Linked DNA regions of Macaca mulatta. The protein of the gene in region 5 interacts with the protein of the main gene of each other region in a pairwise test. Links are inferred from orthologs where the notes say so. Each region holds a gene or a part of one and is shown on either strand. Other genes may lie near its edges.

Region 1 (3,500 bases), on a different chromosome or scaffold from region 5:
GGAGAAGCAGCAAAGTCATACTTTTTGAAAAGGGGCATGCATACTGTGAGGGGAAGCATTTGTGGCACTTAAGTAACCTACACTATGTTAGAGCAGAATCTTTTTTTTTTTTTTTTTGAGATGGAGTTTTGCTTTTCACTCAGGCTAGAGTGAAGTGTCACAATCTCAGCTCACTGTGGCCTCCGCCTCCTGGGTTCAAGCGATTCTCCTGCCTCAGCCTCCCAAGTAGCTGGGATTACAGGCATGTGCCACCACACCTGGCTAATTTTTGTATTTTTAGTAGAGACAGGGTTTCACCATGTTGGTCAGGCTGGTCTCGAACTCATGACCTCAGGTTATCCACCTGCCTCGGCCTCTCAAAGTGCTTGGATTACGGCGTGAGCCACCACGCCCGGCCCAAGCAGAATCATTTCTGAGCTGCATCACTCATTCCTATAAATTATTAGGTATAAGAGGGTAATCCCGGATTACAAAGGAAACCATCAATAGATAACTCTAGGCTGGGCGTGGTGGCTCACGCCGTAATCCGAGCACTTTGGGAGGCTGAGGCAGGCGAATCACTTTAGGCTGGGAGTTCGAGACCAGCCTGGCCAACATGGTGAAAACCTCTCTCTACTAAAATACAAAAATTAGCCGGGTGTGGTGGTGTTTGCATGTTATTCCCGGCTACTTGGAAGGTGGAGGCAAGAGAATCGCTTGAACCCAGGAGGCAGAGGTTGCAGTGAGCTGAGATAGCGCCACTGCACTCCAGCCTGGGTGACAGAGTGACACTCTTATCTGGAAAAAAGAAAAAAAGAAAACTTGCCTCAATATGAGCTACACACAATAAATAGATAACTCCATCCTCAGCCTGTAGTTTCTTTTTTTTTTTTTTTTTTTTTTTGAGACGGAGTCTCACTCTGTCGCCCAAGCTGGAGTGCAGTGGCGCAATCTTGGCCTCCACCCCCTGGGGGTCAAGCAGTTCTGCCTCAGCCTTCCAAGTAGCTGGGACTACAGGCATATGCCACCACACAGCTAATTTTTGTATTTTTAATAGAGGCGTGGTTTCACCATGTTGGCCAGGCTGGCCTTGAACTCCTGACCTCAGGTGATCCACCCACCTCGGCCTCCCAACGTGCTGGGAATACAGGCATGAGCCACCACGCCTGGCCCTCAGCCTGTAGTTTCTAAGGTTTTTATCCTGGACCTGAAGGAGTAGGAGTCCAAGTGCCCTTTAAAATTGTACACAAGGCTGGGCATGGTGGCTCATGCCTATAATCCCAACAATTTAGGAGGCCGAGGTGGGCAGATCACAAGGTCAGGAGTTTGACACCAGCCTGTCCAATATGGTGAAACCCCGTCTGTACTAAAAATACAAAAATTAGCCAGGCATGGTGGTACACGCCTGTAAATCCCAGCTACTCAGGAGGCTGAAGCAGGAGAATCGCCTGAACCTGGGAGGCAGAGGTTGCAGTGAGCCGAGATTGTGCCACTGCATTCCAGCCTGGGCAACAGAATGAGATTCCATCTCAAAAAAATAAAAAATAAAATAAAATTGTACACAAAATTATGTGTGTATATGCATTTTTTTGGAGAAAAGGGATATCACCCCCTCTCTCCCCAACACTGGCTAAAAAGTTACTGCAATCTGGCCGGGCGCAGTGGCTCACGCCTGTAATCCCAGCACTTTGGGAGGCACAGGTGGGCGGATCATGAGGTCAGGAGATCAAGACCATCCTAGTGAACACAGTGAAACCCTGTCTCTACTAAAAATACAAAAAGATTAGCCGGGTGTGGTAGCAGGCGCCTGTAGTCCCAGCTACTTGGGAGGCTGAGGCAGGAGAATGGCGTGAACCCGGGAGGCGGAGCTTGCAGTGAGCCAAGATGGCGCCACTGCACTCCAGCCTGGGCAACAGAGCAAGACTCCGTCACCAAAAAAAAAAAAAAAAAAAAAGTTACTGCAATCTAATTAATGATGGTAATCTTTGGTTTGTGACATGCAAGCACCTATATGATTATGATACACTTACATAAAGGAATACCAGCAAAGCCTTGGACAGTTATTTTAAATTCACTGATTTTTTTTTTTTTTTTTAAGCTAAGAAGACCTTTTAGGGAAAGAGAATTCGTAATGTTGCAAAACCCAGCAATAATAGTATGTCTGAATGTCAAAAGAGCTAGAATCAACTTCTGGAAGTTGGCAATACCTAGTCTGGCAAACATAATGAAGACTAACTCACCCTTTTGTTTATTGAGCTCTTGATCTTGATTCCTAATAGGCAATGACTAGAATTAAAGAAGGTGACTAATACTTGAAATAACATGGGACTGTTATTTTTGATAATTTGGTCTTTCTAAAGCTGTAACAGTACCAATAAATTGTTTTGCTCCCTGGACAGGCTTGAGAAGGAGAAAGCAGAAATTGAACGCATGCGAAACCTGACTGAGGAAGAGAGGAGAGCTGAACTTCGGGCAAATGGCAAAGTCATTACCAACAAAGCCGTTAAGGGCAAATATAAGTTCTTACAGAAGTATTATCACCGGGGTGCCTTCTTCATGGTAAGAAGTGAAAAGAGAGTCAGAAAATTGGGCAGTAGGAATAACTCAGAAACTTTGAATTCTTTTTTCTCTTCAAGAATGTTCTGGAATGTTATTTCCACTTGCCAATGGTCAGCTTTCTCATTTGTTTTTTCCTTCTGAACAATATAAACTCAGAGAAAAGCATCAGCAATTGGATTATAGAAGTAGCATCAACTGTTCTCTCTTTTGGCTCCAACTCTCAAAAAGAGGAAATGATGCAATAGCCTTTTTTTGTTTGTTTGTTTTGAGAGACGGAGTCTTGCTGTCACCCAGGCTGGGGTACGGTAGTGCGATTATAATTCACTGCAACCTTGACCTCCTGGGCTCAAGGGATACACCTGCTTCAGCCTCCAGAGTAGCTGGGACTATAAACATGCACAACCATGCCTGGCACTTTTTTTTTTTTTGCTATTTTTTAAAATTTTTCGTAGAGACCAGGTCTCACTATGTTGCCCAGGCTAGTCTTAGCCTTCTGACCTCAAGCAATCCTTCCACCTCAGCCTCCCAAAGTATTAGGAATACAGGCATGAGCCATTGTCCTCAGCCTTAGATAAATTGATGAAATGAAATAGAGAAGTGATCTGTATAGATAGGGGACGAATTAGGTCCTCCACTTTGTGAAAACCAAACTCTGCAAATAGCTTTACATTAATTCACTTTTGTGTGGTAGAAAGTTCACTTCATTCTGAACTGACAGTACCCAAGAGTAACTAAACAAAAGAATGGTTTATTCTGTAACCATTAGGTGGAGGGCCATCATCTTTGTTTTTCATATAAAGACTTAAGATCAAAATAGCAATCTGTTAATCCTGTATGGTTTATTATAATTTCCTAGTGTTAAAGCAGTTTGTACCAAAAACTAGACTAGCTTTTTCAAGTGCTGTGTGGCAAATTCTAAATATCCCCACTGCAACTGAATTCCTGCCTTTCACTGGAGATGC
Region 2 (4,081 bases), on a different chromosome or scaffold from region 5:
TCCCATATAGTCTAGATGTTCTCCTTTCTCTATATTCCCCACTTTCGAAATCTCACCTACTTTCAAGGCAAGGCAGATGACTTACAAATTATTCTCCCCTTCCATATCAGGCAGGTTCCAATGTCACACTTGCATTTGTCAGTTGGGCATTCTTAAACATACTGCCATCACTCCAAAAGCAACATGTCGGCCAGGCAGGGTGGTTCACACCTGTAATCCTAACACTTTGGGAGGCCAAGGCGGGCGGATAACCTGAGGTCAGGAGTTCGAGACCATCCTGGCCAAGATGGTGAAACACAAAAATTATCTGGGCATGGTGGCGCATACCTGTAATCCCAGCTACTCTGGAGGCTGAGGCAGGAGAATCGCTTGAACCCCGGAGGTGGAGGTTGCAGTGAGCTGAGATCATGCCACTGCACTTCAGCCTGGGCGACAGAGTGAGACTCTGTCTCAAAAAAAAAAAAAAAAAAAGCAACATAACATGTCTGGCCGGGCATGGTGGCTCACATCTGTAATCCCAGCACTTTGGGATGCCGAGGCAGGTGGATCGCCTGAGCAGGAGTTCAAGACCAGCCTGACCAATACAGTGAAACCCCGTCTCTACTAAAAACACAAAAAATTAGCCGGGCATTGGCGGTGGGCACCTGTAATCCCAGCTACTCAGGAGGCTGAGGCAGGAGAATTGCTTGAACCCCGGAGGCAAAGGTTGCAGTGAGCCAAGATGGCGCCATTGCACTCCAGCCTGGGTGCCAAGAGCAAAACTCCTTCTCCCAAAAAAAAAAAAGGCCGGTTACGGTAGCTCACGCCTGTAATCCCAGCACATTAGGAGATCGAGGCGGGTGGATCACGAGGTCAAGAGTTTGAGACCAGCCTGGCCAATATGGAGAAACTCTGTCTCTACTAAAAATACAAAAAGTTAGCTTGGTGTGGTAGTGTGTGCCTGTAATCACAGCTATTCGGGAGGCTGAGGCAGGAGAATTGCTTGAACCTGGGAGGTGGAGGTTGCAGTGAGCCAAGATCATGCCATTGCACTCCAGGCTGGGCAACAGAGCGAGACTCCGTTTCAAAGAGAAAAAAAAAAAAAAAAAAGCAACATGTCTGAAATACTCTTATCTTTCACCTTCATCTTAAATCTTTCACTTTTCTATTTCTGTTGATGCTACCGCCACTCTCCTTGTATCTTGGTTTTTCTCTTACCTTCAATCCTAAACTTGCATTCATCAATCCTGTTTTGTGCTTTCTTTGAAATCCCTCACATCTATATTTCCTGTTCCTTTCCGACCTCAAGTTCTTCTCCCAAGGTTTTCACGCTTTTGAATAAGCCCTAAACTCTGGCCCTTGTACTTTTCCTTACATTCCTCTCCCTATAGGGATACCCACAACCCCAACCCAAATTCTACTCATTCTTCAAGATAATTAAGGTAATCCCACCTTCTTCAGCTAGCCTTTGTGACCACCACCCAATACTGAAACGATTTCCTCTGCCTCTGAATTCCCACAGCAATATTTAGTTAAGCATTCATTTGGCATTTAATCAAGTGGTGATGTATGACAGCTCTTTAAGAGAGCCCAGATAATAACTATTTATCCCTCATATTGAGTACTACCCAGTGCTGCACAAAGAAGTCACTCATAAATATTTTTGGATGGCTGATTTATTGATTGAAATTATATCCTTCCATGGAGATTTGCTTTGCAAGGGAAACATGAAAAGAGGGCATGTGGATGATACTAGGCTGTCATAAACCTATCATCAATGCTTGACCAAAATCAGGCCAAGACAAAGAAGTCAGTCTCATCTCCATCATTTCAATCGAAGGAAAATAATCCCGGTAATCACAAATTCCATTTCACTTTGGAATAAACATTCCTAAAAGTTTGCAAAATTTATTTGTGGTGTTAATCTGCCCTCCTTCTCCCCCACCCCAACATAATTTAAAACAGCCCAAAGTTAGAAAAAAATTGAAGGGAAGAAAAGACTTGGAGAATTTTCAACGCTGCCAAAACTCAGCCAATTTATAAGCATATGAAGACGCAAAATGAGCCCGAATGTTGGTCCCTTCCTCTAGGTCTTGCAAACTTCAGGGAGCTACTGAACGGGACAGCTCTCAAGTTAGCCCCCGAAAAGGGACTGACGTAAAAGTGCTCACCGGCAAGTTGACTTGGAAACTGAGGTTAATTACTAAGCCGACACTCGGCCCCGGCAACCCACTAGCGCTGAGAAGTGAGGGTTGCAAAGCAGAAAATAGGGAAAGAGGTCGGTGGGTTGGGGAGAGGAGGCATTTCCAGTTTGTCTGCTGTGGGAAGTTCTCCGCCTCGGCCGGTCGCTCCAGAGCACCACCGGGGGCAGGACTGCGCCGCGTTCGGGAGCTGGGCAAGCCCAGGCCCGCCCCGCCCCGCCCCGCCGCCGAGACCCATCATGAGCCAGACAGCGCCCAGCGACCGGACCGGGTGCAGCCCAGGGCCCAGAGCCAGTCTCCGCCCCTTCCCTCTGTCCCCGCCCCGCTTTCCCAGCAGGACGCAGCCGCCTGGCGTGCAGAGAGCGGCCTGTCGCGCGCTGGGCGCGGGGACTCAGGGTCCCAGCCCTGCTGGGTCGCGCACCTGAGCTATCTCCATCCTCGGAGACCGACGAACTCTCAGTGTCCTCGTCCTCGGAGCTGCTCCCCTCATTTTCGGCGTAGTCCACCTCCATCTCATCGTGATGGTTGGTCTCCTTCTTATCCCCTCGGGAATGGACCGGCATTTTCAAGCCGCGCCGTCGCTTCCCACTCCCGGCGCCCAGCCCGGCCACCGCCGCTTCAATGAAGGGCGCGCGGAACGCCCCGACCCACCCAGCGGCCGAGCCTGCTCGCCCCCTTGGCTCCTCCCCGCCCCCGGCCCGGGCCTCACAACCTAACCCGCAGGCTCTGCGATGGGAGCTCTGCCATTGGCGGAGGCGGTCCACCGAGCCAGAGGGCGGGGCTTGCCCTGCTCTGGTACGATTGGTTGTCCGTAATTACGACGCGGCCTTCCGATGCTTGCCGGGAGTTGTGGTTCGTAGGGCTCAGACCTGCAGGGGCTGCACCCTTCCATGCCTCGGCAGCCCTGATCACTTCTTCTTTCTGGACTTCAAGTCCCACAAGGCACGAAAGCTGACCCTCTGGATCGCAGTTTATAAACTAAACAGAAACAGATTGTGCGAATTTAGTGTGTATTTATCTATTTCCCGCCAAGTGATTGTTTGACCTGCCTGACTATCCGAGATGTTACTGTCAGATGTGAAAGTGTCTTTTGCCTGAAAGAATCTTTGCCTGCTCATTGAGCCGGGGGACCTGGCAAACCGTCTCTTTTACTAAGTACCTTTATTACCTACCACTAATAAACTGTTTTATTTAATTATTAACTATAGACGATAACTTGCAGTTTCTATGTTGCGCAAAAATCTTTATTCTTGAAACTTTTACAATACGGAAAGTAAGTTTTATATTGGCATTTTCAATCTAGTATTTTTTGCATTTATTTTTTACCAGATGCAGTCGCAAAATGTCATCAGTCCTGATTTAACTTTAGTTTTCAATGAAAAATACATACTTAGTGAGATGTACTTTCTCAAAAAAAGGGTACATAGACAAGGAAGAATCAGTGACTCATTAACTGACCACTTATCCTCTGTATCAGGTATCTTGGTAAGCTCTTTACATGAGTTTAGTGAGTTTAAGTCTCACTTTAATAGCCCTGAGTTAGGTGTCATTGTTATTCCCATTTTACAGATAAGGAAACTTCATTTGCAGACCAATCTTAAAACTATATTTTACCCCTTATAACGACAGGGTTTCTTCTTGAAGTGGCAATTTGCTATTGAAAAATAGTACAGGCCGGCAGGGTGGCTAACGCCTGTAGTCCCCACATTTTAGGAGGCCGAGGCAAGCAGATCACTTGAGGTCAGGAGTTCGAGACCAGCCTGGCCAACATGGTGAAACCCAATCTCCAGAGGCTGAGGTGAGAGAATCACTTGAACACAGGAGGTCAAGGTTGCAGTGAGCTGACATCACACCACTGCACTCCAGCCTAGGTGACAGAGTGAGACCCTGTCTCCTGTCTC
Region 3 (3,500 bases), on a different chromosome or scaffold from region 5:
CAGAAACAATGAAAAATTTAGACAAACAAAACCTATCAAGCTAAGCAATATGCTTATCAAGATAGACATTCATTTGATAGCTACAAACTTTCAGTTCTAGCTTGACTACAGGGTGAGAGGGCTTTTTTGAAGTTACATTAATAGAAGGCACTTGTTATTTACGAATACAGCAAACAAAAACCAGATATTAAAAACTTTACAGCCATTCTGGGTTGTATAAATTCTCAGCAACACTACATTTCAATGTAGTATTTGACTTTTGGATTTTTTATCTTTAGTAAGTCATTTTTATAATTATTGGCTTTTTTGGCACTTAAACTTTTTTGAATGAAATTTAAGATGATTCTAATTTTGAAATCTTAGGCTGATCATTTAAATGGAACATCCTAAGTTTCAGAAATCATATCTCTTATACTAAGGATTAGAAATGCACTTCTCGTTGTACGTATCTAGTTTGATACTTCAAATTAATTTCATTCAATCTTCATTCTGCATTTCTTTGAGGTGACATTAAAACGTTTTTCTCTTTTTCACTGTAGAGCAATGAGTCTCAGTTAGAAGGTCAACTATTAAATCCAAAAGACAAATAACTATGGGTAGGGATTCAAACTGGTATACCAGCCAAAAGCGTTCCAGCCCTGAAAAAGCCAGGTCTGAAAGCCCAGCCTTTACTAGAAACTGAATCCTTGAGACTAATGCCAATCACCTTATAAAAACGAAAAATACTCTTTATGCCAAAAAGGGTATTTTTACCAGAAGAAATTCTGTTTGTTTACATACAGTATAAGCATCAAGTGCTCAAGGCTTTATCCCTACCAACCACCAAACAGAATGGATTTTTCTTTTCTTCCATATACATTCCAGATCTCACTATTTATTTTTTCAGTGTGAGATGCTACAATGAATGTTGAAAATAGTCAAAAAGCTAGGTTAAAAAAATTTTTTTAAATGGCTGTGCTTATGATTCAAAAAGACCTAATTCTGAAGGCATTTCTGGTCAATTCCAGTTGTTTGCCGGATGCTGTAATAGTTGATTCTCCTACCGTGACCCGGCTGTTGGTGCCCGGGTTCCCTCCCAGCCTGTAGTTGTTGTAGGCGAGATGACTGTATGGATTGTATCCCACAAACCCTGGTGTGCTGGGCATTTGCTGATGGAAACAAATGAGACAAAAACACGAATGAGAAATGAGCTCAAACGAGGAAAACACAGAAATGAAAAATGATCTGCATATGGCATGCAAAAGCAACCTGAATTTAAACAAGCAATGATGTGTTGTAATTGTTCTTTTTTTCCACTGAGGAAATTAAATATTTTTCTTTCATTGAGAAACCTGTCTGCAGTGTCTTTTGGTTGTTTTTCTCTTTCTTTTTTGCAGGGACTGGGGGTGTTTGTGTGACTGTGAATGTGTGTTGTGTTTCTGGAGGAAAGCAATACACTGAAGTGTTTAAAACATTCAGGATTTACTTTATGGTCAACAACAGGATATAACAACTTAGCAATATATGAAGACTGAGATAGGAAGGCTTAAAGTGTGATAAACTAGAACTCTGAAAACACTACATGCAAAACAAAACACAATTTATTTGACATGTGGATGCCACCAATGTATTCATCTACTAAAAACAAAAACAAGAAATGGATCTGATTTCAAAGACAGTTTTAAATCATTTTATATAATGTGAGAAATGAGAAGAGACTCAAATCGGGAAGCCAGGATTTGTCAATTGAAAAGAACATATGCTGGATTTGATGGATGTCACATACATGATTTAAAACAAAGACTTGTAAGAAATGCATGGATTTCATTCTGGGGTACTATCTGATCTTTTTAACCCAGTCATTCTTTTATAGGATTTCTCTTCCATCTCTTCTTTGATCCATCTTCCACAGGTCAATCATGAAAACATTTCTGCATTTAGTCTCAATGTGATCTACTTTTCTAGTTGATAGACTTGAATTTTCTTTTTTCATCTAGTTTCCTGATAGCTCTCACCCTTTCAAAACACAACTGCTCATTTCAGCAACAGAACTCTTGGTTTTTGTGAATTATGTGTTGATGTAATCACAAATGGGCTCTTATATAGCAGTGGCCTTGGGGCTAATACAATGACACTCAATGTTCATGAGAACCAAGGCATAATGTATAGAAAGAATATAGTAGAGAGAGACCAAAATTCGGGTATTTTACCTTGTAAAGCTCAATCAAAATATGTGACAATTTCATTTTTACATGCAATTAACAATATCGGTCCTTAACTGTATAATGTAAAATACACTTAACACATTCCAACTAAGCTGTAGCTGTTACAAAATAAACACAATTTCCTAAAACATGTCGCTGCACATATCCTTAGTACCCAAAAGAAAGACATTTAAGCAGATATTACATTTGATACTCTTTAGGAGAAAAGAGAACGGCTGATCAATTTCTAGTCTATACAGTTAGAAAAGACGCAAATTAAGCATATTTAAGTAGGCAAAACACAGATGAAGTATCAAAGGCATGAAAGAAGTGTATATTACTTGGAGTGGTACATTTGGGTGGCGGAGGTGATAGTGGTGATAGTGTTGGTAGTGGTGGTGATGGTGGTGGTGGTAGGAGTAATGGAAAGAAGGAAGGAGAATAATTAATTTAGTATCCATTCTGTTGGATGTTTTAATCCCTAGTTTTCTATATTTTGTGTGTTAACGTGAAATTATAATGGCACAAAAATATAACTAAAGAAAGGCCAAAAAAAATCCTTTTTACGCATAGTAAGTTATAAGGGGACACTTCATTTTTGAAATATTTTAATCTCAAAAAATCAAGTTTGTCCTCAAGATATGATACATTGTCAGAGGCAGTATTTATGTCAAAATGACACCTTCAAAGTTTGCATAAATAATAAGAATCACTGTTCAACATTATGAGGCAATAATGTTATAAAAATAAGGGAACTAAAAAAAAAAAATGGAAAGCAAAACATTATAATTATACCATTTCCAAAGCTGAAGTACATGGTTAGCTCTTTGAGGTCAGAATCTCAATTGTTCAGCTCCACCTGTATAGCCACTAGCGGAATGCCATGGAGATGGTCATAACAAATGTTCTTTGATTTAAGAAAGAAAAGAAACCAAGCACAGGACTTTACGGTCTACTGGAATTAACTTTAGAGCCTGTATATAATATAAATTGAAATGAGAACATATGGTACAGTATCTCTTTTTAAAAGTATCTCACTAAAGAAAAACAAATTGTTGATAAATGTAACTAAAACATATATCTGAGGGTTAGTAAATATGAATAGTTTTCTAGCGGAGAAAACAAAATTACACAAGGACCTAATTAGTAGTGAAAAGTAGACTAGCCTGAAATTTAGGTAGTAGGGGGTATGGAAGGAAGGATTAATATTAAAGAACTAATTTTGTAGAATTTGGTCATGTTAACAGTGTTTTTAAAAAAACAAACAAAACCCCCCTCCCAAAAAACCAACAAGGAAGCCATTTCAGCAAGACCTGA
Region 4 (4,001 bases), on a different chromosome or scaffold from region 5:
CCAGAAACTGTGAGTAGAGCTTTAGCTTTTCAGGGAGTTCCTCCAAGTATTTTGGCTTCAGTTTCTCCTGAGGCAGAAAACAGCTGTCACCACCCTCAGACAAAAGCTCCCTGCATAGACATGGCCTCCCCAGGGCTGTGGATGGCCCAGGCTGGCCGTGGGCAAGCAGCCGTCTTCCCCGCAACTAAAACTGGGGCAGCGCCCAGGCTTCAACTGGATACATCAGCATTTATTAGACTCTGACTGGGTGCCAGACCCTATCTGAAGTGATCAGAAGGCAGAGAGGAATGAGATGCTGTCCCTGAATCTGTCCTCACTGTCCTCCCAATGGCCTCTGGGTCAGCCCCAGGAGCGCCTGAGCACCTGGCAACCTCTGGACCCAGACATGGGCAGAATCAAGGATGCAAAGAACTACAGGAGCTCAGGGAAAGAAGTAGAAAGTTCCTTCTAATGCGGTGGCAAGAGAAAACATGGACATTGACCAGTTTCCAGGGAGATGAGAAATTCAGGTTGAAAGGAAGAAGGGAGAGCCACCCTTTGACTGGCTCTGAGCTGTCTGTTATGAAAATGTGTGGATCCCTGTGCATTTCAATGACAGCACTTGGAAACTATTGAGAAGATGCAATTCAAGAGTGCCATTACATTCCTCTATCTTGTACTTGAGTCTATATATTCTAGGAGCAGGTAAGTGACGTGAACCAGCTGACAGAAATGACCCATGACAGAGGCCAGAGGCGATGAAGGAGATTCTGAACATGAACTTTACCATCTAGGAATTGAATTTCTATCCTGGGATGCCTGGATCGTGTCCTAAGATTGCTGGGAATTGCCTCTGCTTTTGTTGACATTGGAGTCGTGAGAATAACTGTTGATAGTATGGGAAAGCACTTGGAGGATGAGTGGTACCAAGGACTTAAGGAAAGACCAGTGTGTGCAGGAATGCAAGAGTCCTGGCCCCAAATCCAAACTCTGCCAGGTGCAGATCACTGGGGAGACTCACAAATTCTGGGTTGTAGCAGATCATGACCAGTTGCATCTGGTTGTCCATGATCTGGTTCTCCAAAATGTCCACACGACTCTTCAGAAGAGGAGATGATTCATGTGGATATTTTGTAGAACCAGGCTATAGACGTTTCCAGTGAGCAGGCCAGGGTCCGCTACAGGCCTGACTTTGTGAGTCCTTCTCTGCTCTGGGCCAGAAGCCAGGGAAAGGGGTGACTGGGAGTGGGGTGCAGGACTCACAAAATTTGGGTCAAAGCAGAGTCTGACCATCTCCATGCGGCTGTCCATAAGCTGGTTCTCCAAAATGTCCACAAGAATCTTCTCCTCTTCTGTCTCCCCACCTGCCACCCACAAAACACACTCACTCTGAGCATCACACCCCAATCCAGCCAAGGAGGAGGCCACCTTCCCCCCACACACTGCAGCCAACCACACTCACACAGGTTGTGCTTGCGGGCAATGTAGCGCAGGATGGCGTTGCTCTGGGTGATCTTGTGAGTCCCATCAATCAAGTAGGGCAGCTGGATGAATGGGAAACCGGGGAAGCTCAGTTGGGCCACCAGGCCCCCCAGCATCCCCATCCCATGAGCAAGGGCAGAGAGGAGACCGGGCACTCACTGTGCCTGCTCATGGCAGGCCTGAAATAAGAATACTGTCATATGGACGAATGAGCTTGGACACAGAACATCATGGAAGGGCTGTGTAGACAGCCAGGAGTGAGGGAATTGGGCAGAAGACTCCGGATCCTAACCCCTCTAAGCTGGGAGAGGAGATGCGGTCAGAGACACGTTGCACTTGCCCCCAAAACCGCCCCTTCCCCTGCACCTACATTGGGAAAGTCCAGGCCCAGCTTGAATTTTTCATTCAGCCACTGGCTTCTGTCATAGTCAGGAGCTGTGGTGCGGAAGATGAAATAAAAACAAACCTCCCCAGAGCCCAGCCCTCCTTCCCCGAGACCCTCTCAAGGAGCCAGTGGCAAGACCCCTGAGACAGGTGGATCTAGAACCTGACCACTCAGTCCCACATCCCAGGGATAAGGGAGAAAGAATCCCGGTGAGGGCTGTGGACCCCACGCGACTAAGGCTTCCAGGGTTTAGGCAAGCCCTGAGCGACACCCATCCCAGTTATCCAGACAGGGGGCCCAGCATCCCGCCCCAGCATTCTGCCTTGCAAGGCCAGAGGGCTCCCTCAGGTGGGCTCAGGGAAGGGACAGCCTGCAGCTCCAGCAGGGGAGGCCTGCAGAGGCAGCCACAGGTGGCCACCATGGGTTGCTTGGTGCCAACTCAGCGGGAGTGGGCAGGGCCCGGACACGAAGGTGCCATTACCGTGCCCCATCCGGTACTTCTTTTCCTCGTAGTTTGAGTCTGTGTATTCCAGGAGCAGGCGGATGGCGTGGGCCAGCTGGGAGAGATGGCACGCACGCAGCTCGGGTCAGAGATGGTGGGTCCCTGACTTGGTGACTTTCTCTGCACCAGTCGAGCCCCCAGTCTACACTGCACTAACCTGTCGCCTCCTCTACCCGCCCCCACCGCCAGACACACACACAGCGTCAGGCACAGGCCCTTCTGAGGGCGACCGCCCTGAAGAGGAACGGTCTCTAGAGCCCTTCCCTCAGCTGCTCCACACTTCCCTCCTCCACTTCCCTTCTCCACAGCCCTCGTCCCACCGTCCAGCGGACCCACGCTCACCCCGCGGATGTCCCAGTACCCCAGGATCATGGGCATGGTGCCTCTTGGTGCGGATTCTGCAGACAGGCCTCAGCCGAGCGGGGCTCAGACTTTATGAGAGACCCAGGGAGGGGAGAGGAGGGGCCTTGCTGCGACCCCGCCCCTCGGCCCGCCACGCCCCTGAAACGCGCCATTCTGAGGCCGCGGAGAGGGCGCCTGGGGCTGGAATCAGTAACACCCACGCCCGCCTCCCAGCCCCGAGGGTTCCCGGAGCGAGGTCAGGGCGCCCAGAAGCCGAAGGCCGGGATCACCCTCGCCAGCTTCCCCAACCCGCCCTGAGGCTCCACGAGTCCATCCAGCACTTGCTAAGTCCACAGCGACTTGGCCGTGCGCTTCAAACACCAGCCAGATCCTAAAGAAGCAAAAAGCTCTTCTCCCTTCTCCTCCCTGCCCGCGGAGTCCCTCAGCCTTCTCTCCGCTGCCGAGTTCCCGCGGGCTCTGGGAGACTCGGGCTGCAGGGATCAGACTAAAAGGTGGTGGCCCCAACCTGGGAATTTAATTCAGCCCGTCACTGTAAGAGCAGGACTTCCTCTGATTCGAAAGCTACTCCGAGGGCTTTGTCTCCCCTCTAGCCCCGCCTACACAGGAACGGTGTCAGTGGTATGGGAAGGACCCCCAAGAAATGGGTCAGAGTAAAGGAAATGTGGTCTGTGTTTTCTGTTAGGTGCCCTCGGGTACTGAGTCCTTTGGTCATCTGACTACGTACTATGTAAAGTAGCCACTTCGTATTTTGGCACAATTTATGAATCTAAATTAAAGGATCAGACCCAGCAAGTTGGTGAGGTATCTGAGGTGCCCCCTGGAAATGTCCAGCCAGTCCACTAGGTGAACCTCACATAGACCAAAACAGCAACAGCAGCAGTGAGTGCAGTGGCCACAGAGGGCAGGCGAGGGAGGGTGGAAGAACTTCCGGGACCAAACTGAGGGTCAGGCTGCTATTTCTCTAGGCCCAATAACCAGATGCAGATCACCTGGAGAGGAAGAGAGGTTTTATTTCTGCAACTGGTTACAGGGAGAAGATCTGGAAATTACCACCAGACCAACTCAAAATTACAAAGTTTTCCAGAGCATATATACCTTCTAAGCTATATGCCTACAAGTGAGTGTGCATCATCTAAAGACATAAGTGATTGACTTCTTTAATCTATAACTAAGTTCTGGGTCCTGAGACCTTACTCTGGAGCCTCAGTCTATTTACTTTATCTAAATAGGTCCAGGTGCCGGAGGTGATTACCCTTACCTTGTCCCCTGCTACCTCACGGAGGTGTGGGG
Region 5 (3,500 bases):
GGGAAACCCCAGGGCTGCCCCATCCCCTTTCTCCCTCATTCCCTTTGACTCCTTCCCAGAGACCTTAAGCCGCTGCCACCTCACCCCACCCAGCCAGTAGAGACCAGCCTACCTCCTGCCCCACCCTGTCAATTCCTTCAGTGCTGTGTTCCCCCATTCCCTGCCCTAGTCTTTGAACCCTCTTTGAAGGAAGATAGGGGTGCTGCCAGCCAGAGCTAAGTCCTCAAGCTGCTCCTCCATTTCTGCACCCCACACTACTGTTGGTGCCATTCATAGTAGAGTTCCTGTGAAGCCTCAAAGCCACGTTTACCCAGCTACCAACCACTCCCATTCCACTTCTCTGCAAACACCCTGAACGGCAGTAAAGCTCCTAGTAGGAGCTCAATAAATAACTGTTGTTAGTCTCTTCTGATTGCTAGAGCCTCCTGCTGCTGAGCTCAAGGCTCCCTTTGCCACCCACCCCATGTACCTCTTGAACGGCCCAATAACTCCTTCACCTCTGGCTGGCTCTCCACCCCCGCCATCCCCACGGAGCCTCTCTCTCAGGCCACTGGGGCTCCTAATCACCAGTTTCTAGGACCACCCCCCTTGTTCTTTTAAATCTGTGGGAACCTGCTCCTTTCTTAAGCTCACCACTTCTCTCCTGACCTCCCTGCCATGGTACCTTCCGGGGCCTGCTCCCATTCTCACCTGAACATCTGCCAGATGCTCAAAACACATCTGCTAATTCATGAATGGACTAGTCAATGAACTTGCCCATTCTTCAAAGATGCTTAGACCACCCCCTTTAGAATGCATCTGTTGGTTAAGGTCTAGGATCCCATTTTTGGCTGTCTCAAGTGCCTCCACTTAGCTTGCTATGGCCCAGTTCCATCATGCCCCCTGCCTCTCACATTCCCGTTGCACACTCCTGACCTTTCTGCTGCCTGGAACTCCCTGGGAAGCTCTCAGACGACCTTTCCTTCTTCACCTCACCTGTGTTCCGCGTTACCTTGCCTCCCACACTGCCCAATGCACTGCACTGATGGTCAGCACGGAAGCTCAGCAAATCACTGCTCCCTGGCTTTCCCTCTAGTGTCAACTGATCTTCTTAATAGATACACAACTAGATCCTATTCTTCTTTGGAAGCCACTTCTCCCCACCATCCCCAGATCCAGTCTAGTGTTGGGCACACAGTAGGCAGTAAACCTGCTCCTAAAGTACTGCTTTGCAAGGGGGAAGGCCAATCTTCCTGGTCCAGAGGGTGTGCAGCAGTCCCATTGCCTGCACACAGGCCAGGATTCTTAGTGAGGCCCCTACTCACTCTGAGCAAGCAGCTTGGCCACCATGTCCTGACTGCCGGCCTGGGCCTCCTGTGTCTTGCTTGCCAGGCGGCGGTTTGCAGATTCCAATCTCTCTGTTTCAAGGGAAGGAAAGATGTTTTAGTGTCAGGTGAAGCTGCCAGCTTGGGATTTTTCCTGACATCCTATCAAGACGGGGCTGCATCCTCCACATTGGGGATGGGCCATGAGGAAACCCCGGCTCAGCTCAGGGCCCGATGGGAGGGAGCCTCCTCTGTCAGAAGCCATCATCCGGGCCCCACGATGGGAGCTCCCTGAAGGGATCCGAGACCCAGTACATAGAGACAAGCATCTCTCTATCAGGGCAGCTCCCGAGGGTCTCAGCCTGGCTCTCTGAGTTCATCTGCACTTTTAGCAGGTAATAGATTCCCAATTTTTCTCTAGAACAGAGGAAGTAAGCCCTCTGCAGAGGCTCTCCAACCTCCACCTGTGTGACTGGCTCTCACCTCTAAGATCCCGGTTGAAGTCTTGCAGCCTCCTCATTTCACTGTCCATCTTGTTCCTCATGGTCTTCTCCAGGGCCTCACGCTTGGAGGAGGCTCTGGTCAGGCTCTCATGGGCCTCAGAGAGCCGCTGGATTTCGCTTTCCAGCTGCAAGAGGCAGACAGCAGAGCTGAAGGAAGGTGAGAGCTCCTAGGGAGTGATTCCAGGCTGACCCACTACTCTCCATCAGAAAAGGTGACAGATGAGAGGACACCAAGCAGGAGCAAAACCTCCAGGTTTTGGTGGGATGACTATGGCGGGATGATCAGAAGCTTGTAGCCTCCAGAAGTAGACTGGACTGCTGGGACCAGCAAGCAACGGTCCATCGGCTGCCCCAAGGACCAGATGCTGAGTGACCCTAGGGCCAGGTACTTTGGAAGTAGCTGCCTGCAGGGTGACTAAACATAGCTTCCCTGTGCCCAGTGTCCAGAAGGAAACATTCTACTTTTGGCTGGCTTCCACCAAGAAACTGAGTACGGTTGGCCAGAAGTGGGCACCAAAAGACTACAGCCATGTCGGGGTGGTTGGACCTAACTTGGACACCACAGGACAGTCAAGGGAGGCCTGAGGCCATCTGCTAAAACTGAGCCTCAGCAGAAAACTGGTAATCCTTCACTAAAGAAGCAGGCACCAGGTCTAAGCCTGAGCCACCTCTGCCTGGTCCCCCAGGCATCACCGTCCACCCAGAGGGCCAGCTGGGCCCCGGCTGCTCCTCCCACTTGGCTGCTGGCAGGTTCCGCACGTGCTCTTAGCTGGCCTGTGATTCCAACAAGTCTTTCCAAGAGGAGAAGTTTTCTTTTTCGCCAGGGCTGGCCTGGAACAGACTTGCTGTTGTGTGGGGGACACAAAGGGCTCTCTGTGGGAGGTGTCCATGAGAGGGGGTGTGTGCAGGGCAAGGGTGCGAGTGTGCAAGGAGCTGGTGAATGGGCTCTTTCTAATCACCACTGGCCAGCAACTGCTCATGCTCCAGGCCTGCTCTGCCGGCCTCTCGGCTGTTCCCCAGCTGTCTGGAGTCAGCTCAGGAGGGTGCATGAGGGGTGAGGGAGGTGGAGAACAGAGGGATGGGGGAAATCAAGCCAAACAGTTTTCAGGCTCCTCTGCCTCTCCTTGGACTACCCACTCCCCAGGTAGCCCCTCGGGGTCTCTTTCTGGTCTGCCCCTCTGAAACCCCAGCAGGGCCTACCTTCTCAATACGGCCGGCCTTCTCTGCAGAGCTCTCCAGCTCCCTCTGCAGCCGCTCATTGTCCCTCTGCAGCCTGGCATTCTCCCTCAGCATGGCCTCCATCTGGGCCAGGTGGGCACTGCCCGAGGTGGCTGAGGAGGCCTGGGCACTCACTGGCCCCTCCACAGCAGGTGGGTTGAGGGAGCTCAGGGGGCCATGGCCAAGAGCAGCTGGATGTGGGGGAGGGGGGTGCTCCTGGGGTTGCTGCAGGTACTGGTACTGTTGCTGCTGTTGGAGGAACACAGGCGGCACCTGGGCCTGCAGGATCCTGGGAAACAGAAGAGACGGTGCTCAGAGACAGCACAGACCCTTATGGTTCCCACCCGGAGCAGCCCAGAGTCGCCCCATTCCTAGGCATATTGGGAAGATGGTTATTATTCATAACTAATATTTATTAAAATTGCTGCAGATAATTATTCAACCCTCAAGTGGTAGGCAGGGACCAGTGGGGAAG
Region 6 (2,360 bases), on a different chromosome or scaffold from region 5:
AGGTGGTGTCCAGACAGCCAGGGTGGAAGCTTCGGGAATGGGAACTAGTGGCCGGTGGCCAGCTCTCCAGAGGGGTGTGTGTATACGTGTGTGTGTATATGCGGGAGGTCACCTGACCCAAGCATGGTGGGCTGAGTCCAGGAGGGGTCTGCATGTTGGAGGTGTACCCAGGGATCAGTGATGGTGGTTTCTGAAGCCCCAAGTCCCTGGTGAAGGAGGACCAAACCAAGGACTCTGTGAGGGCAGGTGAGGAGCTCATGGCCTTGCGAAGGTGGAGAAGGGCAAGGGCAGGAGAGGGCTGTGGAGGAGGGGTCACGGTGCAGGAGGCCGTGGGGACTGCCATGCACTCTGCCTGGTGTCACATGCCCACAGCAGCCTCAGTGACAGAGCACGGAGCCCCAGAGGTGGGGTGTTGGGGCTCTGCCCAGGATCTGAGCTCATTGGTCAGAGCCCAGGTCACCATGCATAGTCCTCTGCCCTGGCCGGCCACTGCCCTCTGTCCTTCTCTTGCAGTGGTGGGGTCGGACACTGTGGACTCCGGGACCTGCAGCTCTGCCTTTGCCGGCTGGGAGGTGCACACGCGAGGCATAGGCTCCAGACTCCTCACCAAGATGGGCTACGAGTTTGGCAAGGGTGAGTACAAGCAGCCCTGGAGAAGTGGGCAGAGGCTGCAGCATAGCCCAGGTCCCGCAGCCATCAGATTCCCCGGGGGTCCCGCAGCCATCAGGTTCCCGGGGCTCCCGCAGCCGTCACGTTCCCGGGGGTCCCGCAGCCGTCACGTTCCCGGGGGTCCCGCAGCCGTCACGTTCCCGGGGGTCCCGCAGCCATCAGGTTCCCAGCGTCCGGCAGCCACAGCACTGCCGTTCCTGTCTCAGGTTTGGGCCGACACGCAGATGGTCGGGTGGAGCCCATCCATGCTGTAGTGTTGCCACGAGGGAAGTCGCTGGACCAGTGTGTGGAGACGCTGCAGAAGCGGACCAGGGTTGGCAAGGCTGGCACCAACAAGCCCCCCAGGTGCCGGGGAAGAGGGGCCCGGCCTGGGGGCCGCCCACCCCCTCGGAATGTGTTTGACTTCCTCAATGAAAAGCTGCAAGGCCAGGCTCCTGGGGCCCTAGAGGCCGGGGCAGCCCCGGCGGGGAGGAGGAGCAAGGACATGTACCATGCCAGCAAGAGCGCCAAGCGGGCGCTGAGCCTGCGGCTCTTCCAGACCGAGGAGAAGATCGAGCGAACCCAGCGGGACATCAGGAGCATCCAGGAGGCTCTCACCCGCAACGCTGGCCGGTAGGTGTGGGGCCCGGCTCAGGGCAGAGGGAAACCCAGGGTGGCCCTGCCCCCAGGACACCTGCGGGAGGTCACCTGACCCAAGCATGTCAGGCTGAGTCCAGGAGGGGTCTGCGTGTTGGAGGACAGGCAGTGGGCACACGGGCAGTGGACATGGCAGCCTGGGGCTGGCGGCATGGCCGGGGACCCCACACTGACTGGTGAGCCTCTCCGCAGGCATAGCGTGGCGTCAGCCCAGCTGCAGGAGAAGCTGGCAGGAGCCCAGCGCCAGCTGGGGCAGCTCCGGGCTCAGGAAGCAGGCCTGCAGCAGGAGCAGAGGAAAGCAGACACCCACAAGAAGATGACTGAGTTCTAGAGAACCCTGCAAGCACTATGGATGAAGTGTGGGACCCCGGCACAGGCTGCCCTCAGAAAGACCAGTGTTGCCCAAGGAGGGGCCGGCCTGCTGGCCTGGGGCGTGCGGACCCTGCTGAGTGGAGACGGGGCTGCAGGGTCCTGTCTGGACACTTTCTTGCCCACCTGCCAGTGTCTTGGGCATTTCCTTGGCAAGGACATTAAAGTGATTTCATCACAGTGTCATTCAGTGGAGATCAGCTGGCTGCAGGGTCTCTGGGGAGAGAAGGGTCTGTGCAGGGCTGTGGTGAGCGGTGGGCTGGGCTGGAGGGGCCTAGGAGGCCAGCATTCTCCCTTCTCTCCCTTCTCTGTCCAAGGCAGATTGGAGGCCAGGGTGCCCGCCAGGCTGCCTGACACCCACAGATGGGTGGAGCTCAGTGCTGCTCCAGCAGGCAAGACGGGCCAGCAGGCGAGACGGGTGGGAGGACTGTGGCCCACCACGTGGGGTACTCCTGGTGAGGCAGGCAGACCTGGCCCTGTGAGTTTGGGGGTTCTGTGCCAGCTCTGCTCAGGTCTTCATGTGTGGAGGGGATGTGAGTTAGGCTGTCAGAACAGTGCGGGCTCGAGGCACACACGTTTCATCTAGGCTTCGGGCGGGGCGCAGCAGGTGGGTGAGGCTGCGGTGGTGGCTGCTGCCCAGGGTGGGAGGCTCAGGGGAGGCGCTCGGCAACAGGAGCAGGAAGTGA
Region 7 (4,249 bases), on a different chromosome or scaffold from region 5:
CTTGCTGGCCACAGCTGCAGCACTAAGGAAGTGCAGGAAGTCCTGAGCAGCCAGCTGAGCCCCCCGCCCCCCACCCCAACCTCAAGCTGACCCCAGAGGCTGCACAGGGGGGGCCGAGGGGCGGAGCTTGGGTATTAACAACTGGAAAAGTATGAAGAACATTGCTGCCAGTCCCCAGCTCTGAGACAAGGACAGGGGTAGACGGGGGGTAGCGACAGGGCGAGAGAGAGTTACAGACTGGCAGAGGAAAAAGGAGAGAGGGAGGGAGAATCAGACACTGCAAGACAGAACAACAGAAAGAGAGACAGAGTTAGAGAGAAATTCCAAGTCAAAAATACACATCACTCATACAGACACTCGTCAGCCGATGGCCTCTTAAGGAAAGCTTCCAAGTTTGGACAGAAGGGTCCAGGTGGGAAAAAGGGCCAGACTCAAGGTGGGATGCAGGAACTCAGCTGGGGGTGACTGACTGTTCCCAGGAAAGGCCCAGGCAAATGACTCAGAGCAGGGGCAGTTAGACACCCCAGAGCTTTTAGGGTAGGGAGAAGAGCAGCTCTCCCCTCCCCCAGCAGTCAAGAGAATCCCAGCTTCTAGAAGTCACTGGATACTGCTTTGAGCCCATGACTCGGCCCTCTGGAACCCCCCTGAACCCACTGTCTTTGCTCTTGTTTCTCTGTCCCTCTAAAAGAAAGAAAGAAAAAAAAGAAAAAAAAAAAAAAAGCCCATTCCCGCACAGTGGCTGAGCCTAGAGGAAAAAGGGAGGAGGAAGCTGAAGGGGAAAAGTCTGTGATTGTGTGCATCTAAGTGTGTGCTTGGCTGCACAGGCTCCAGTTGTGTGCATCTGGGGTTGTGTGGACACGACTGTTGGTGTGGACCTGCAACTGTGGGGACCTGGGCCTCATGAACTCGTTCTGTACCTTAGTTCAGGGGACCATGTGCAAATGAGTGCACCTGTGTCTGCAGGTTCCACAGTCAATCAACTCACAAGTATTTACAGAGCAGCCCTTGTGCTAGGCTCTGGGTGGCATCCAGAGCTCTTTAAGTGATTCTCCCAGGTCTCTAAGAGCTCACTGTCTAGTAGGGTGGTATCTCAATCGATAGAGACCAAGAAGATGTCATTAGGAATGCAGGCTTTGCACCATTACGCAGGAACACCTTTTCATACAGCCAAATTTAATATTCTTGGGAGCAAGGGTTTTGTTGCCTGCAGAACCTCAGAGTTCCACAGTAAGAGTCCAGGAAAATACTTGTTGCTAAGTTGTGTATACATGTGTTGATGTGTAACTGTGTTTGCATCTGACTGAGTGATAGCGACTGTCACGGCAAGCAATGATGTCTGTGTGACTGGGCTCATGCGAGCACGTGTGTGCCTGTGAGTGACAGGGTCTTTTGTAATTGTGCGGCTGTGTGCAACTGCTCTGTGTGCATGCATGCATGTGACAGTGACTTTTTATGTGTGGGTGACAGCAACTCCTCCTTGCCCCAGTGTGTGACAGCATCTCCGTGTGACCCTGTGTGTGGGTGGGTATGTGCATGGGTCGGTCCCCATGCTCTTGGTCTCCCGTGGGTATATCCCACCCGTCTGAGCTCCACGGTGCAGCAGCAGCCTGCCTCTTCCCTTGTCCCCATGTGGGTGTGTCCAGTAGCTCCTGTCCTTGAGTCCGCCTGGGTGTCCCTGGGTGTGCATGTGGCTGTCTGTGTGGACATATCTCTGTGTCTGCATGTCACTTTTGCTTCCCCCCCTTATTTTGGACAACAGCCCCCTTCATCCCCTCCCCCTCCTGGAGCCAAAGGCAGCACTGAGGGGCAGGCTCCCACCTCACTGTCTTTCCTTCTGTGTCCCCCACCCCCACCCCTGGAACGGTGGTTCTTTCAATTGCCCCTGTCATCCCCCAGGCCTTTCTTTCACGCTGGACAAGGGAGGGCCCCACATGCAGAAGGGGCACCAGAGACACGTTGCAAGGGGAGGGAAACAAGGTGGGGTACACAAACAGGTCCATTTCTCCCTGTCCTCCCCAGCCAGCAACTCTCCTAATCATCTAGGCACCATCAAGTACACCCCCTCCACACACACATTCCCCCCAACAGCCGCGTTTTTGCAATTAGGAGTGTTGCAACCAGACAGCCATGCTCAACTGGGAGGCGGGTGAAGCGAGGGGGGGAACTTCCCTCTCCCAGGACCCGTGCAAGCCCACCACCGCCACCGCACTCATACTGCCCTCCGCAGCTGGAGGCAGCTTTGCAAAGGCCACTCGGCCTCAGAGGCTAGGGGTGGGGGCTGGGGGGGGCAGGCCTCCGGCGCACCGTAAACAAACCGCGGCGCGGCGGGCGGGGGGAGCTCCGGCGGCCGGCAACGGGGCCCGGCCCGGGAATGCGCAGCAGACTGGCCGGACAGAGGCCGGGCGGGCCCTCGAGGGGGAGGCTCGGACGCCATCTCCGCCTGCGAACCCCGGGGCCCACCGACCTCCTACAACACCTCCCTTCCCCAGGGCGTCAGTTGACGCTCCCGGGCTCGTGACAGGGTCACTGGGGTGCCGGGAAAGGCTGAGGCTGGCAGCGGGTACCCCCTGGGCGCCCCCAGCCCGCCTGGGAGCTGGCCACGGAGCCCCGCGGCTTTGCATAATCAATCGCAAGGCATTTGCATATTAATGCCCTCGCTCCCTCCTCCTTACCTCGGCGTGGCGCGCTGGACCGGGCTGGGCAGCGACGCGGGGGTCTCAGCGCCCCGTGCTGGGGGCGTCCATGGGGGGCCGGTGGGGCCCGGGCCGCCCGCCTCCTGCGCCCGGGTGTGAGTGCGAGTGAGCGCGGGGGGGGCGGGGGGCGAGTGTGGCGGCCCCGCGGCTCCTCCGGCAGAGGCGGCGGCCGCTCTGGCTCCTCCCTCCCCCGCCCCGCTCCGGCTGGGGCTCGGGCTCGGCGCGCCCGGCCGGCTCGCGGCTGCTCCCTGCAGGCCGCCTCGCCGCCGCCCGCCCCCGCCCCCCGCCCCCTGCCGCGCCCCGGGACCCCCGCCAGAGGCCCGGCCGCCCCTCGGCCGCTTCTGCCCCGCCCCGCTCTGACTCGCCCTCCCCCGCCCGGGCGGCTCCCGCAGGAGTGGGTACTTGGTGACATATTTTGGAAAAGATGTCATTAAAAAATAGCCTTTGCTTGCCGGGAGAATTGGGGGGTTTTCGGGTGTGCACCGTGGGGGTGGAGGAGGAAGTATCGACGAGCCGCCTGCACCTTATACATGGGGGAGAAAGTCTAAACACCAAATGCTTGCAGGTGTAGAGTTTGTTTGGGTGTTCGGGTCCCTTCTCCGCCAGTAACTCACTGTGTGACCTTGACAAATCGCCACTGCTGTCGGGGGCAGAGCTTCCTCAAGCTTCAGGTGCGAAGGCTGGGCAGGTGACCCCTGATGTCCTTTTAACTTCAATCATCTTACGTTTTTAATCCTTGTGGGGGCTCATTCCCCGTTACCTCCCTCCCCTCTCATTTCTAACATCAATACCGAACCACTGCCTCCCCTTTCCAACGTCACCCTTCTCCATATAGGCTCTTTCTATTCTCTGTCACCAGCCATTTCCCCAACAATCTGCTCCCTCTCCTGCGCTGGGGAGGGGACAAGAGCTGCCATACCCCCTCAATTCCTAGCTCCCCGGTGATGGTATTTCCCCCCATGTTTGCTCCCACGAAAATCCAAATGGTACCAGAGTCAACCTAAGGAAGACGGTGGGCTGCGTACAAATGGACCCCCTAACCCAACCCAAAGGAGAGGTCTCCACCATGCCAGCCCCACCCCCAGCACACACATACACACACCACACACCTGCATTCATGGACATAAAACCAACCCAGTGACGCCAGAGCACCTTTCATCTCAGGATCTCCTAGCGCCAGGCTGAGCCCTAATTACCCCAGCACCCCCCTGGCCCCGCCGGTTCCCCTGCTGTCATTAGCCCAGTTTTACCAGCGGGGGCCACGGCCTTCCCACGGCTCTCAGGGTGGGGCTCTGGCTACACAGTCTGCTCTTGGGGAGGGGTGTGTGTGTGTATGCGAGTGTGTGTGTGTTAGGGGGAGCTGCTCGGCTAATCGCCCAGTTTATACTGGGCAGAATCACTTGGTGAGTGTGGGATTCTGACCCACAGCTTACCCAAGTTGGGTTGCCCTTGCTCATGTCTTAGTATCAGCCACCTGCATCCTCAGTGCTGTTGAAGCCACTTCTTTCACAGGGGGTACTGGAGTTTGTAATTCTTGGTGGAGGGGAGGGTACCTC

The links.
Region 1: the proteins of AMOTL2 (region 5) and MFAP1 interact in binary tests that used the Homo sapiens proteins (3 or more experiments, as listed by UniProt). The two-hybrid records come from large-scale screens. The link is inferred for Macaca mulatta from reciprocal best matches to the Homo sapiens genes AMOTL2 and MFAP1.
Region 2: the proteins of AMOTL2 (region 5) and BRMS1L interact in binary tests that used the Homo sapiens proteins (3 or more experiments, as listed by UniProt). The two-hybrid records come from large-scale screens. The link is inferred for Macaca mulatta from reciprocal best matches to the Homo sapiens genes AMOTL2 and BRMS1L.
Region 3: the proteins of AMOTL2 (region 5) and SMARCE1 interact in binary tests that used the Homo sapiens proteins (3 or more experiments, as listed by UniProt). The two-hybrid records come from large-scale screens. The link is inferred for Macaca mulatta from reciprocal best matches to the Homo sapiens genes AMOTL2 and SMARCE1.
Region 4: the proteins of AMOTL2 (region 5) and GSTM5 interact in binary tests that used the Homo sapiens proteins (3 or more experiments, as listed by UniProt). The two-hybrid records come from large-scale screens. The link is inferred for Macaca mulatta from reciprocal best matches to the Homo sapiens genes AMOTL2 and GSTM5.
Region 6: the proteins of AMOTL2 (region 5) and ZGPAT interact in binary tests that used the Homo sapiens proteins (3 or more experiments, as listed by UniProt). The two-hybrid records come from large-scale screens. The link is inferred for Macaca mulatta from reciprocal best matches to the Homo sapiens genes AMOTL2 and ZGPAT.
Region 7: the proteins of AMOTL2 (region 5) and THRA interact in binary tests that used the Homo sapiens proteins (3 or more experiments, as listed by UniProt). The two-hybrid records come from large-scale screens. The link is inferred for Macaca mulatta from reciprocal best matches to the Homo sapiens genes AMOTL2 and THRA.

What each region holds. Positions count from the first base shown.
Region 1 is NC_133412.1:21,191,518-21,195,017, reverse strand, and holds part of MFAP1 (microfibrillar-associated protein 1), read left to right. Parts: intron 1-2,378; coding exon 2,379-2,538; intron 2,539-3,500. UniProt on the Homo sapiens protein: Involved in pre-mRNA splicing as a component of the spliceosome.
Region 2 is NC_133412.1:108,944,901-108,948,981, reverse strand, and holds the start of BRMS1L (breast cancer metastasis-suppressor 1-like protein), read right to left. Parts: upstream 2,801-4,081; 5' UTR 2,744-2,800; coding exon 2,602-2,743; intron 1-2,601. UniProt on the Homo sapiens protein: Involved in the histone deacetylase (HDAC1)-dependent transcriptional repression activity. When overexpressed in lung cancer cell line that lacks p53/TP53 expression, inhibits cell growth.
Region 3 is NC_133421.1:65,022,563-65,026,062, forward strand, and holds part of SMARCE1 (SWI/SNF-related matrix-associated actin-dependent regulator of chromatin subfamily E member 1), read right to left. Parts: intron 1,149-3,500; coding exon 1,044-1,148; intron 1-1,043. UniProt on the Homo sapiens protein: Involved in transcriptional activation and repression of select genes by chromatin remodeling (alteration of DNA-nucleosome topology).
Region 4 is NC_133406.1:130,497,905-130,501,905, forward strand, and holds the start of GSTM5 (glutathione S-transferase Mu 5), read right to left. Parts: upstream 2,801-4,001; 5' UTR 2,727-2,800; coding exon 2,691-2,726; intron 2,404-2,690; coding exon 2,328-2,403; intron 1,897-2,327; coding exon 1,832-1,896; intron 1,524-1,831; coding exon 1,442-1,523; intron 1,344-1,441; coding exon 1,243-1,343; intron 1,079-1,242; coding exon of another isoform or gene 1,001-1,078; intron 68-1,000; coding exon 1-67. UniProt on the Homo sapiens protein: Conjugation of reduced glutathione to a wide number of exogenous and endogenous hydrophobic electrophiles.
Region 5 is NC_133407.1:37,408,506-37,412,005, forward strand, and holds part of AMOTL2 (angiomotin-like protein 2), read right to left. Parts: intron 3,370-3,500; exon of another isoform or gene 3,315-3,369; coding exon 3,008-3,314; intron 1,933-3,007; coding exon 1,788-1,932; intron 1,398-1,787; coding exon 1,305-1,397; intron 1-1,304. UniProt on the Homo sapiens protein: Regulates the translocation of phosphorylated SRC to peripheral cell-matrix adhesion sites. Required for proper architecture of actin filaments.
Region 6 is NC_133415.1:116,595,173-116,597,532, forward strand, and holds the end of ZGPAT (zinc finger CCCH-type with G patch domain-containing protein), read left to right. Parts: exon of another isoform or gene 1-513; coding exon 514-633; exon of another isoform or gene 634-875; coding exon 876-1,281; intron 1,282-1,497; coding exon 1,498-1,636; 3' UTR 1,637-1,657; downstream 1,658-2,360. Other genes in the region: LIME1 (lck-interacting transmembrane adapter 1), read left to right, coding at 1,658-1,904. UniProt on the Homo sapiens protein: Transcription repressor that specifically binds the 5'-GGAG[GA]A[GA]A-3' consensus sequence. Represses transcription by recruiting the chromatin multiprotein complex NuRD to target promoters.
Region 7 is NC_133421.1:64,420,668-64,424,916, reverse strand, and holds the start of THRA (thyroid hormone receptor alpha), read right to left. Parts: upstream 2,801-4,249; 5' UTR 2,673-2,800; intron 1-2,672.